Arabidopsis thaliana: one gene and its partner. The protein of the gene in region 1 interacts with the protein of each later gene in a biochemical or structural test. Each region holds a gene or a part of one and is shown in the gene's direction. Other genes may lie near its edges.

Region 1 (5,381 bases):
TTGGTGTTCCCTAATATTCATATTTTAGCTGGTTGCAAACACCAGCTATATTCGTTTATGGATTTTGGTCTAATTATTATTAAAAAAACAAAAATTAACCATAAGGTGAGTTTGTTTTGTGTATCCTTCTTATTTTTAACCAAGAAGGAACTTACATCAAGATTAGTTGAAATTTTCAAAAAGACGACACGTGCTGAGAAAAATATGTTCTTGATCCTTGACATTGGAAATGGAAGTAGTAGCTAGCTACTTAATCGTTGTATATCTTTAAGAGTTGGGCTAGACCAGATAATTCAGCCCATTTTGATGTATTAGCGACAATTCTTTTGATAGCATTTTTGGGCTAAGTCTATTCGTAATGGGTTTCAATCATCTCATTGTTTCTTCAGCACATTTTTGAGCCTGCTTATTTTTTTTCAGAACGTATGGAACAAGATCACATGTTTAATTATGTATGGTCGACATGTTTCAATCCGTTGGCTTTAAGGTCTTAATAACGTACGATACATTAGTTTTGTTTTGTTGCATGTAACCTGTGTGGTTGTACTTGTACGTTCACTACTTGTTGGTTTCTTTATAACCAATAGAATTCGGCAATTCAGTACCATGTATATGTTTTTCTTAACCGACCATATATTCCATAATTCACATGCCATCTCTTAAAAGAAATACAAGCACTCATAGCCATAGGTGGTGGATGAAGAAATATGTGTGTTAAAAATTTCTTCTATTGTCCAAAATCAACAGCTTGATCAGATGAACTTCTGAGCGAGCCAGAGGGTTCCAAGGTGGGCCATTGGGAACTTGATAAATCTCATCTCGTCACATCTCCCAAGGGGCAAAACAAAAACTTAAGAAATAATCAATTCAAAAGGCATATTCTTCCCGCTTGGGGCGTTCACACTATCTCATCACACGTGGAATCCAACAAAGCAGCCACGTCACCCAAGACCATACTAAACCACTTAAAAAGGTTTTGCTAAAAGGCCAAAAAAACCGGATAAGGAACCACAGCCCAATGACGTCCTCATTTATTTTATTTTCATTGAATTGCCTAATATTTATTTCTTTTGTCGTCCTTCTTCCTTGCTTTTGTTACCATATAAAAAAAACTTTTTTTTTAAGTACAGAATATATATATGACAATATCGCAATCGTGGGTTCAGCTTATCTTAAGTTCTCGGGAACCTAAATTCGGATCGCATTGACGATGTTGATCTATCAAACCACAGCCAGTTAGTTTATAAGGTTCAAAATTAATCGTTTATCAAAAACTACATGTAAGTTGGCTTTGTTCAACGAATTTTTAGAAAAACGTAAAACGATATAATTTGGCAGGACCAAATAAAAACCAATGCCATGGATTTCATCTTCTATTACATCATAGAATAGATTCAATTCTGTAAGGGTTGACTTTGTTTTAATCATTATTCTACATTCTCTAATAATAATAGATTTTGTTAAACTTGTTAATGTGATGTAAATCAAAAGTACAGTTATTTGCTATGAGTGTCTGAGATTAAAAGATAGTCGCACTAATTCATTTAGATTAGTTTATAATCCAATTAACAAAATAAAAATGAGCGAATAAAACAAATTAAAACTACTTTTTCTGAATTTGAATAAATAGTAGGTAACCGGTGGTTGGATTAAGAAAAATATATATGAAACAATTCGTGGTACTGTGATCATAAATAATACTTGACGTTCCTGAATTTCTCGCCACAATATATAACATTTGTTTTTTTCTTTCCAGTATTTATCACATGAAAAAACTAAAATAAAGAAAAAACGATAACCTTTAAAAATTCCCCCCTCAAAATAAAGAAAAAAATAAAAAGCTAAAAAGGCAGTAATACACACGCCATTTATAAATAAGGCAAGTGAATATAAAATAGTGCCTCATCATCATCAGTACCATCTCCTCGTTTTGATAAAAATCTCTGAATCTCTCCAAGCTCTCTTCTCATCAAACCATGGATCCTTACAAGGTAAACCCTTCTTTCTTTTCTCTCTAACCTTTTCGTCTTTTGTAATTTCTCCGTATAAACTGGATTGAAACGTTGTTATTAGCTTATGGAATTGCACCCAAAGTTTTGACCTTTTTTTCTACTCGAATCTGCAAATATACAATTAAGTCTTTCCATTGCTCTAAGATCATGTGCCTTTTGACTTGTGATTCTTTCGAATCATTGTGGTTTTTCTCTGATGTTAATTTTAATTTCCTTTGCAATTGATGATGATGATGCAGTATCGTCCAGCTAGTTCTTACAACTCTCCCTTCTTCACCACCAACTCTGGTGCTCCTGTATGGAACAACAACTCCTCCATGACCGTTGGACCCAGAGGTACCTCTTCTTCTCCCATGAATAAGTCTGTTCTCCTCAATGTTATTGTTGCATTTCTGATTGTTTTTTTGGGCAGGTCCTATCCTTCTTGAGGATTACCATCTCGTTGAGAAGCTTGCCAATTTCGACAGGGAACGGATTCCAGAGCGTGTGGTTCATGCCAGAGGAGCCAGTGCTAAAGGTTTCTTTGAGGTCACTCATGATATCTCTAACCTCACTTGTGCTGACTTTCTCCGAGCTCCCGGTGTTCAGACTCCTGTCATTGTCCGGTTCTCCACCGTTATCCATGAGCGTGGAAGTCCCGAGACCTTGAGAGACCCTCGTGGTTTTGCAGTCAAGTTCTACACCAGAGAGGTCAGTTAGTAGTTTGTAACATTTAAGAATGCTAGCAATTACTTATATACTAAGCAAATGATCATTCTTTGTATGCAGGGGAACTTTGATCTTGTTGGAAACAACTTTCCTGTTTTCTTCATCCGCGATGGGATGAAGTTCCCTGACATGGTCCACGCTCTTAAGCCGAACCCAAAATCTCACATCCAAGAGAACTGGAGAATCCTTGACTTCTTCTCCCACCACCCTGAAAGTTTGAACATGTTCACTTTCCTCTTCGATGATATCGGTATCCCACAAGATTACAGGCACATGGATGGTTCAGGTGTCAATACATACATGTTGATCAACAAAGCTGGCAAAGCTCACTACGTGAAGTTCCATTGGAAACCAACTTGTGGAGTCAAGTCTCTTTTGGAAGAAGATGCAATTCGTGTTGGAGGAACCAACCACAGTCATGCGACTCAAGACTTGTATGACTCTATAGCTGCTGGAAACTACCCTGAATGGAAGCTCTTTATCCAAATCATTGATCCTGCTGATGAAGACAAGTTCGACTTTGACCCGCTCGATGTGACCAAGACCTGGCCTGAGGATATCTTGCCTCTTCAACCTGTTGGACGTATGGTGTTGAACAAGAACATTGACAACTTCTTTGCAGAGAATGAGCAACTTGCTTTCTGTCCTGCAATTATTGTCCCAGGGATACATTACTCAGATGATAAGCTGCTTCAAACCCGTGTCTTCTCCTATGCCGATACTCAGAGACACCGTCTTGGACCAAACTACCTTCAGCTGCCAGTCAATGCTCCAAAATGTGCTCACCACAACAACCACCATGAGGGATTCATGAATTTCATGCACAGGGACGAGGAGGTACTTAATAGTACACTATCAATATCTTTATATCGAACTTGAAGCTAGAATACCATAGTCTTACAAGAAGCTGTTGTTACAGGTTAACTACTTCCCGTCGAGGTATGACCAGGTTCGTCATGCTGAGAAGTATCCAACTCCGCCTGCTGTCTGTTCTGGAAAACGTGAGAGGGTCAGTAATCAACTCTGTTTTCCTCTCTGTTTCTGTTTCCCATGGATTGGTTCACTTAAGAACATATGATCTAAAAGTTTCGAAATCTGTTTTTTTTTCAGTGCATTATTGAGAAAGAGAACAACTTCAAGGAGCCTGGAGAGAGATACCGTACCTTTACACCAGAGAGGTACTAATTGTTTTATTTTTGTAATGATGCTTAATGCATAAAAGGAACATCTGTGTTCTTAACGTTTTACGGTATGTTTTCAACTTCAGGCAAGAACGATTCATCCAGAGATGGATTGATGCCCTATCCGACCCACGCATCACGCATGAAATCCGCAGTATCTGGATCTCTTACTGGTCTCAGGTCTGAAATCTTGATCTCTGTTACTGTCATTGTCTCGTTCTTCAAGTCTCAGCAGTTGAAAAGTTGTCAAGTTTTAAACATTTTTGACTGATTGGTTAAAAATGTGTGAAACAGGCTGATAAGTCTTTGGGACAGAAGCTGGCAAGCCGTCTGAACGTGAGACCAAGCATCTAAAACGAGTGAAAGAATTCTTGATTGGCCTTTCTGTGGTTGTTAATTAGCAGAGAAAAGAAAATGGGAAGAGATCAAAGTTGCGATAATACAATCTTCATCATGTGGATCTTCTGTGCTATGTTATAATAGTATCTGTTTAAAGACCAAAAGAACCTTGTGTGTTGTTGTGTCTCTCGTTTATCAGAATAATACATTATACATTGAAGATTTATAATCCGTGGTGTTACTTGATGAAAGCTCCTTCTTCCTTGAAAGATTGTGACATATTCTTATATATTTCTCATATATTAACGAATGTAATCCCGTAAGAGCTGTCGACAAAGACGTGATTTTTAGTCTGCATGTTCTGGACGAAAGGGAATAGCAAAGTATGAAACGAAAAAGACAAGAAAATCCATAAATTCTTATGTGTGGGTATTAGGGAATTTACAATAGTTGTCAATATGTGTTGTAACAGTGGCCACATTTGTGTATAACGTCGTTGTATCAAGTGTGGGGTGTCGAGAGTCTTTAGATTTGGTGTGAATAATCTGACAATTTGGATTTGAACTCTGCTTTGACATCCTGACATTAGAAAATAAACTTGGTTTTGACATTTTGGGGTTTGTATTTGTGACAAGTACTGTTCAAATGATATAAACAAGAATGACTTTTTAGTTAAAATTTGATAATATTACAAAGTATGGTTACATGCAGTTGATCGATAATTCAGAACCAAAACCAAACTTCTCTTAAAAATAAGGAAAATAAAAAGAATCACCAAATGGTTTTCTCCGAGAGGAGTTTCTGAAGCAAGATTACGAGATTTTGTTCGTACAGGTGACAATAATACGAGTGATATGGACCCAAAAAAACCTCTCTTTCTTCTATAAGAACTACAAAGATTTCAACTTGTCTCATTTACCTGAAGAAGCTTTTACTTTCTCAGTAGAGGCTAAAACCAAAGAAAGGGCTGATGACAATTCCCAATCCAAGACCAATAGCCACAAGTGACGAAACCCAAGTTAGTTTCTCTGTGATCCTTGGAACTTTCTCTTTCAAAGCCTCACTGCAAGACCCAATAAACGCTGTGTAACTTCCCATCGCTATAACTGTCCCAACCAGAAACATTATCAAAAACGCAGAC
Region 2 (6,189 bases), on another chromosome or scaffold:
TGATTGTTTACTTTTTTTTTTTTTTCACAAAGCTAATTTTATTATCAGCACAAACCATATCAGATACATAAACCCGAGTGAATTACGGGACGACAAAGCCGGCAGGATATAATCCTCCGGTACACAAGCCGGCGAGGAATGAAACCCCGACACTAAGCCCCGACATGGGGAAACGACGTAGAAAGACAAAATAAAACATGATTGATGATTTTACACATAAACATAGTTCTCTCTTTAACCAAATAAACCAAGATCGAAAATTAACTGGCATCGGAGATTTCGTCGGAGATTGAGACACCCACTTTAAGAAAATTTGATCTTCTTGCCTTACTTGATAATTAAAAATCTTCAGAAGAAAAACCTTGGGATACTTTGGATGGCAGACGGTGGAAACTCAGCTAAACATGCAGAGACCGTCGAGAACGCCGTGGCCGGAGATATCGACTATGCGACTTGAACCGGTAGAAAGAACCCAAAATCTGGGCGGATTTCGCCCTAGATCCGTATTGTTGAAGCTGTGTGAGGAAACCCAAAATTAGGTCACCCAACCCGAATCACCACAACACCGACAGTGAGTGGCATAGAGCGATCGTGATTAGGCCAGGGAGTATTTAGTCAGAGAAGAAAACCACGCTAATTTGCAAAATCACCAATCGAAACTATAGATCTAATAAGAGAAATTGAGGAGGAAACGAAATCGAAACCAACCCAGAAATCTCCTTAACCACAACTTAAAGAGACATAACTGAACATAAACCAAAAAGCCAAACCGACGTCATGACCGTGGTGGCTCACAACGCCGGCGGAATTGAAGCGGTGCTTTTGTTTTTAAGAGAGAAGGAAGAGGATATATTTTTTTTTTTTTTTTTTTTTTTTTTGAATATTAAAAATTGTTTACTTATGTTAGCTGATTAATATTAGTAGTATCAAAAACCGTCTGTTACAATTTTCCGATAAGGCCGTCCAATTGGTTCAATTGGCTTCAGCCCGACATCCACCGGCTTAGTATGCGGCGATGGTCGGCTTTCGTCCAGTAAATCCGGCTCCCATTAGCGGTTTTGGCTGGCTTGGTATTTTCATCTGCCGTGAATCGCTGCCGTGAATCGGTTTTATGCCGATTTCTTTTAGTCCTCTTTAGTTTATCTTTTAAAAATCTCTCTGATCTATGTTTGGTGGTGCCAACCTAACAATTTCTCGTTCAACGGTGGTCTCCAACTAGCTCCTTGAGTTTTGTTTTGTTTTATGTTTCCGGTGGTTTCCAGTGAGGTTATGCGGATATCTAATCCGACCAGATCGGGTGGATTTGCTGCTTTTTCTCTTGGATGTTCTCAAACTGGTTCTTCAGATCTTTGGTTACAACAAATCTTCATCGGTAATTATGTTCAATGTAATGAAAGAAGACTTGTTTCCAGCATATTAAGATTGCCTGTAGCTGTTTCAACATTCTCCGGTGACAAGCAACAACAAAAAACGATGCTTAAACTTTTTCCGGCGTCGATTGTGTTTACAATAGTCGGAGTAATTAACGGCGAAGGATGACGGAAAGTTTCCAAGCTTTTCTTGCAACACGTTTCATCTACGTATCTTTGTGTTTGACACGTGTATTGAGCAAAATTTTATCTTTAAGTGATGTAGCCATTTGGGCCATTAATGGGTTGTAACCATTGTGATGTGGATTTTAATAAAACTAAACCTTCAGTGAAAAAAAAAAAAAAGCTGATTAATATTAAAAATCCAACCAGTTTATAATCCAGAACAACGGTTTTCTTAAATTGACTAGTGACCCAAATTCTTAAATAGGCTACAAAAACCGCAGGCCCATTTAGTAATATCTATTTTTCGTTTGACTGAGAGAAAACAAAACACCATCCAATTCCAACGCACAAAAAAAAAAAAAAAAAAACTTATCGGAAACAGAAAAAAGAAGAGAGAGAGCTATCAATCGATCATTGATTGATTGCAGAGAAGCAGCGAAAGAGACATTTCCAAATCTAATCTCAATCCAATCCAATTCAGGTTTTTTCCATCTCTCTCTGTTGAGCTACTTCTGAATTAGCTTCTTCTATGTTCGATTTCCAGCTGTTGATAGTTTAGCTAGAGAATCAATTTCGAATTTCATCTTGAGGAAGCAATTTTAGTAATTTAGGTTTTGAATTTTCCTTTTGAGGTGTTGTAGGGTTGTTGCTACCTTCACGAATGACGACGACTTCTGTTTGCCCGTTCTCGAAAGCTGCTCGTCCTGACGATGGGTCGACTCGAAAACAAGGCGAAATTACCGCTTCTGGTTGTCCTTTTTCTAAAGCTGCTCGTCCCGACGATGCCTCTGCTCGAAAGCAAGGGGAAACGACGGCTTCTGGTTGCCCTTTTTCTAAATCTGCTCGTCCTGACGAAAATGGGAGTAAAGGATGTCCTGAACAAGAAGGAAACTTGAATAAGGACTCTACTGATTCTGCAACGGTACCTGCCAAGTGCCCTTTTGGCTATGACTCTCAAACATTCAAGCTTGGGCCTTTTAGCTGTATGTTATGTCAAGCACTTCTATATGAGAGCAGTAGATGTGTGCCTTGCACACATGTGTTCTGCAAGTAAGCCATAGTTGCTCGGCCGCTTATTTCTTTTTTGGCTCATGATTGGGTCTACTTTTCTTATACTTTGTGGTTTCTTGAATGCAGAGTATGCTTAACACGGTTTAAGGACTGCCCTCTATGCGGTGCTGACATTGAAAGTATTGAAGTTGATGAAAACCTTCAGAAGATGGTTGATCAATTTATTGAAGGCCATGCTAGAATTAAGAGATCTGTCGTCAATGGAACAGAAAAAGAAGAGGTCGAAAATGATAACAAAAAAGTGATTTACGCTGACGTTTCCATGGAAAGAGGTTCTTTCTTGGTGCAACAAGCTATGAGGGTGAGTTCTGTCTCTAAATTTTGTTGACCTAACCGATGGGATTATTCTCTTTTGCACCACTTACATTTGTTATGATGTCCCGCTGTGAGATCTTGTTCTAATTCAACTTGTATGCGCAGGCATTTAGTGCCCAAAATTATGAAAGTGCTAAATCAAGGTTGGCAATGTGTACCGAGGACATTCGGGATCAACTAGGGAGGGAGGGCAATACACCAGAGTTGTGTTCACAGCTTGGTGCAGTCCTTGGCATGCTTGGTGACTGTAGGTATGATATTGTCTTCTTTTTTATCCCAAGTTGTTTATTTCTAAGATGTATCCATTCTCGAGTTTCTGTGAACAATTAAGATTATGAAAACAACGGTGCTTTCGAATGTGGTCACCAATGTGGTCTTTTATGATCCCGCTTGAGCCACTTTGTTGTTCAAATTGATTTTTTTTAATTTGGAGTTTCTCAAGTATGTGGCCCTTCCTTGGCAGTTTCCTCAATTGATAGTTTCTCAAGTCGACTGGTTGTTGCTTTCATCTTGCTTAGAGTGCGCATGGCACTTTGGGAAATACTAAAATAATTTCTTTCTCGTTTGAACTAGATTCTGGTTTTCTAGATGGACCCTGTCTACATCAATTGACTGGAAATATATTCATATATTCAGATTTTTCTGTATCCTCTTATCATTTGCATACATCTTTCTCTGTGGTTCAATCACCTCGTTCAGAATAAATGGAAAGGAGAAGCAACAGTACATGCTTGGTTCGAAAAACCTACTTTATACATAATCATTTTCTCCTCCTGAACTGTGTTATTTTGGCCAAAATGTTTGATCTTCTGTTTGGTGTGTTGAATTTTTTCTTTTTCCGGGACTTAAGTTTGATGGTTAAATTATTTTTTGTTGTTGTTGCAGCCGAGCGATGGGAGACTCAAGCTCTGCAGTCAAGCATTTTGAAGAGAGTGTTGAATTCCTTATGAAACTGCCGTTGAATGATTTGGAGGTTATAGCACATTGGTTCTTGTTAAATTTTGATGTTGAAAACTTTTTACCTTTTTGCTTACAATTTTAACTTAACTTGCAGATTACACATACACTTTCTGTCTCACTCAATAAAATAGGAGATCTAAAATATTATGACGAAGATCTACAAGCTGCAAGGTCGTATTATGATAGAGCTTTAAATGTCAGACGTGATGCAATGAAGCACCACCCAAATGCTCCTTCACAAGTAAGTGTGCCCTCATACAGTTTTCTGTTTTTGCTCTTCTTTGTTTTGTCCCAATGTTTGGTTAGCTGAACTGGCTACTCTTAGTCGCCATATACATTTCAAGGTCTCGCAGAAAAATATCTGTTGTTAGCTAAGTTATTGACTTATTGTAGCATTCGTGAAGGCTCTTTTGTAGATCGTAATCTCTCACTCTCTAGGCAGAAAGCGTTTATTTATGTGATTGTTACATCTTGGTGTTCATTTGGGTCCAGGCAAAATGAATTCAAATGCATTAAAAGATATAGAGATTAACTTAAGGTGCTAGTGGATCAAAGGATCTGAAATACGATGTAAAGTGAAAATAGTATACTTGTTCTCAATGTGTTCAAGCGGGTTTCTTGGTTCACTCTTTTCATTTTACTTATTTGTTACTTTACCATGAATGTTCAGAGAAATTCTCTAAATAGTTTCCTAGATTTTATTCAAGTCAATTGCTATTTTGTTGCCTGGGTTGAACTGAGGTTTAGGTAACTGACGTGTTGTCGTTGCAGTATACATACTTGGATGAGGTGTCATTTAATTCTCTGCGATAAAGTTACTCTCTTTTGGATACATATAATTAGATTTACGTGCATTGTAATTGGGTTATTCTGTTGGTTGGAAATCTTCTCTTTGTTTTCTTATTTTATACTTGATTTCTTGCCTAGAGAAATTGGAACTCAAATATAGTAAGCAAAGGTCTGTCCGGAAGTAGAAATTGATTTCTTTTGTTATTTCTACATTTTTTATGTAGATTCTGGATGTGGCTGTTTCCTTAGCCAAAGTTGCGGATATAGACAGGACTCTACAAAATGAAGTTGCAGCGACAGATGGGTTCAAGGAAGGCATGAGACTGCTGGAATCTTTGAAACTGGACTCTGAAGATTCTGCTCTCGAGCAACGGGTAAGATTCTTGCACGACTCCCTTTTTATTTGTATCTTATCCAAAGCTGCTGAATGTCAGTAAAACTTTATCTGACAAATGTAATTTTAACATGCATGCAGCGGCTCTCTGTACTGGAGTTCCTTAAGAAGCAAGTAGAAACCGATGCTGAAACTGCACTCTAAACCGATGCAGGCTTAAGTACGTATATAGAAATTATACCTAAGTTCTCGTCTGTGGCATTTTGCTGAATAAAGAAAGCAAAAATGTTGTATTTGCGCTCAAGGGACAAAGAAACAGAGTTGTCTGTATGTTGTGAATTGTGATGGTTTTCAACTTTCAATGCACTAATCTTGCAATGTTAAATTGTTAAGCATGATTGTACTCTATGCACTTGTGAAATTTAAAAATTAAGATATCTTAAGCGGCTACAGCTGTGAACTGCTTTCTATTTCTTTTCAGTGCAAAATGAGAAAGAACCCAACAGAGATTGAGAGATGATGTGAAAGGAAAATGCAAGTATTTGCAAACTCAATCAGCTACAAAGAGTATAAATTGCGACAACAAAAATTTGTCTTTGTTGTTTTGTTGAATGAAGTTTTTCTTGTAACTACTCTTACAAAAATAAAAACATAAACATAGTCAATCCCTAAAGCCGATGATACTATGCAAACGACAAAGATATACTAACTCCAACGCACGAATCAACAAAATTAGGTCACTTTTACGAAAATAAATCTACATAATCAACAAAATTAGGTCAACTTCGTTCTATTTGTAAAGCTTTTTTCAGTATTTTTTTCTTTAATATGTTCACGTCTTTTAACTGTTCATATAATTACGTAACTAAATCTTTAACTTCGTATGTAAAACTATGTTTTTACGTATTAGATATAGAGAAATTGTTAAGAATGTTTTTCCAAAAATATGTTTTTTTAGTACTATCCTCCCATGTAATCATTTTTATTGATATTATCTTTTAATTATTAATGACTATTTTGCTTCTATTTGAAAATACTTAAATCAACAAAATGAAAAAATGATTTTTTCCGCCAAAAAATGTACTTCACATCAACTGCTATGAAACAATGTACTGATTTTATCAATTCACAAAAATTCTTGCCTCTAATCAATCGTGATTCAAGCAATCATGCAAAATCTTGAGT

Evidence for each region. Proteins that work in one complex are often made in the same cells at the same time.
Region 2: the proteins of CAT2 (region 1) and AT3G54360 form a complex in vitro, tested with the Arabidopsis thaliana proteins (one study listed by BioGRID).

Annotation. Positions count from the first base shown.
Region 1 is NC_003075.7:16,699,811-16,705,191, reverse strand, and holds CAT2 (catalase 2), read left to right. Parts: upstream 1-1,687; 5' UTR 1,688-1,976; coding exon 1,977-1,991; exon of another isoform or gene 1,992-2,236; coding exon of another isoform or gene 2,237-2,251; coding exon 2,252-2,348; intron 2,349-2,424; coding exon 2,425-2,702; intron 2,703-2,780; coding exon 2,781-3,557; intron 3,558-3,639; coding exon 3,640-3,729; intron 3,730-3,830; coding exon 3,831-3,898; intron 3,899-3,987; coding exon 3,988-4,081; coding exon of another isoform or gene 4,082-4,087; exon of another isoform or gene 4,088-4,195; coding exon 4,196-4,255; 3' UTR 4,256-4,880; downstream 4,881-5,381. Other genes in the region: AT4G35080 (high-affinity nickel-transport family protein), read right to left, coding at 5,180-5,381. UniProt on the Arabidopsis thaliana protein: Catalyzes the degradation of hydrogen peroxide (H(2)O(2)) generated by peroxisomal oxidases to water and oxygen, thereby protecting cells from the toxic effects of hydrogen peroxide.
Region 2 is NC_003074.8:20,127,589-20,133,777, reverse strand, and holds AT3G54360 (zinc ion binding protein), read left to right. Parts: upstream 1-1,864; 5' UTR 1,865-2,016; intron 2,017-2,176; 5' UTR 2,177-2,196; coding exon 2,197-2,585; intron 2,586-2,672; coding exon 2,673-2,907; intron 2,908-3,026; coding exon 3,027-3,172; intron 3,173-3,806; coding exon 3,807-3,894; intron 3,895-3,975; coding exon 3,976-4,122; intron 4,123-4,894; coding exon 4,895-5,044; intron 5,045-5,145; coding exon 5,146-5,208; 3' UTR 5,209-5,224; exon of another isoform or gene 5,225-5,485; 3' UTR 5,486-5,651; downstream 5,652-6,189. Other genes in the region: AT3G54363 (uncharacterized protein), read left to right, coding at 1,243-1,539. UniProt on the Arabidopsis thaliana protein: Has holdase chaperone activity that may fold catalase to a functional structure. Not required for the peroxisome import of catalases. Required for the activity of catalases and acts mainly at the post-transcriptional level.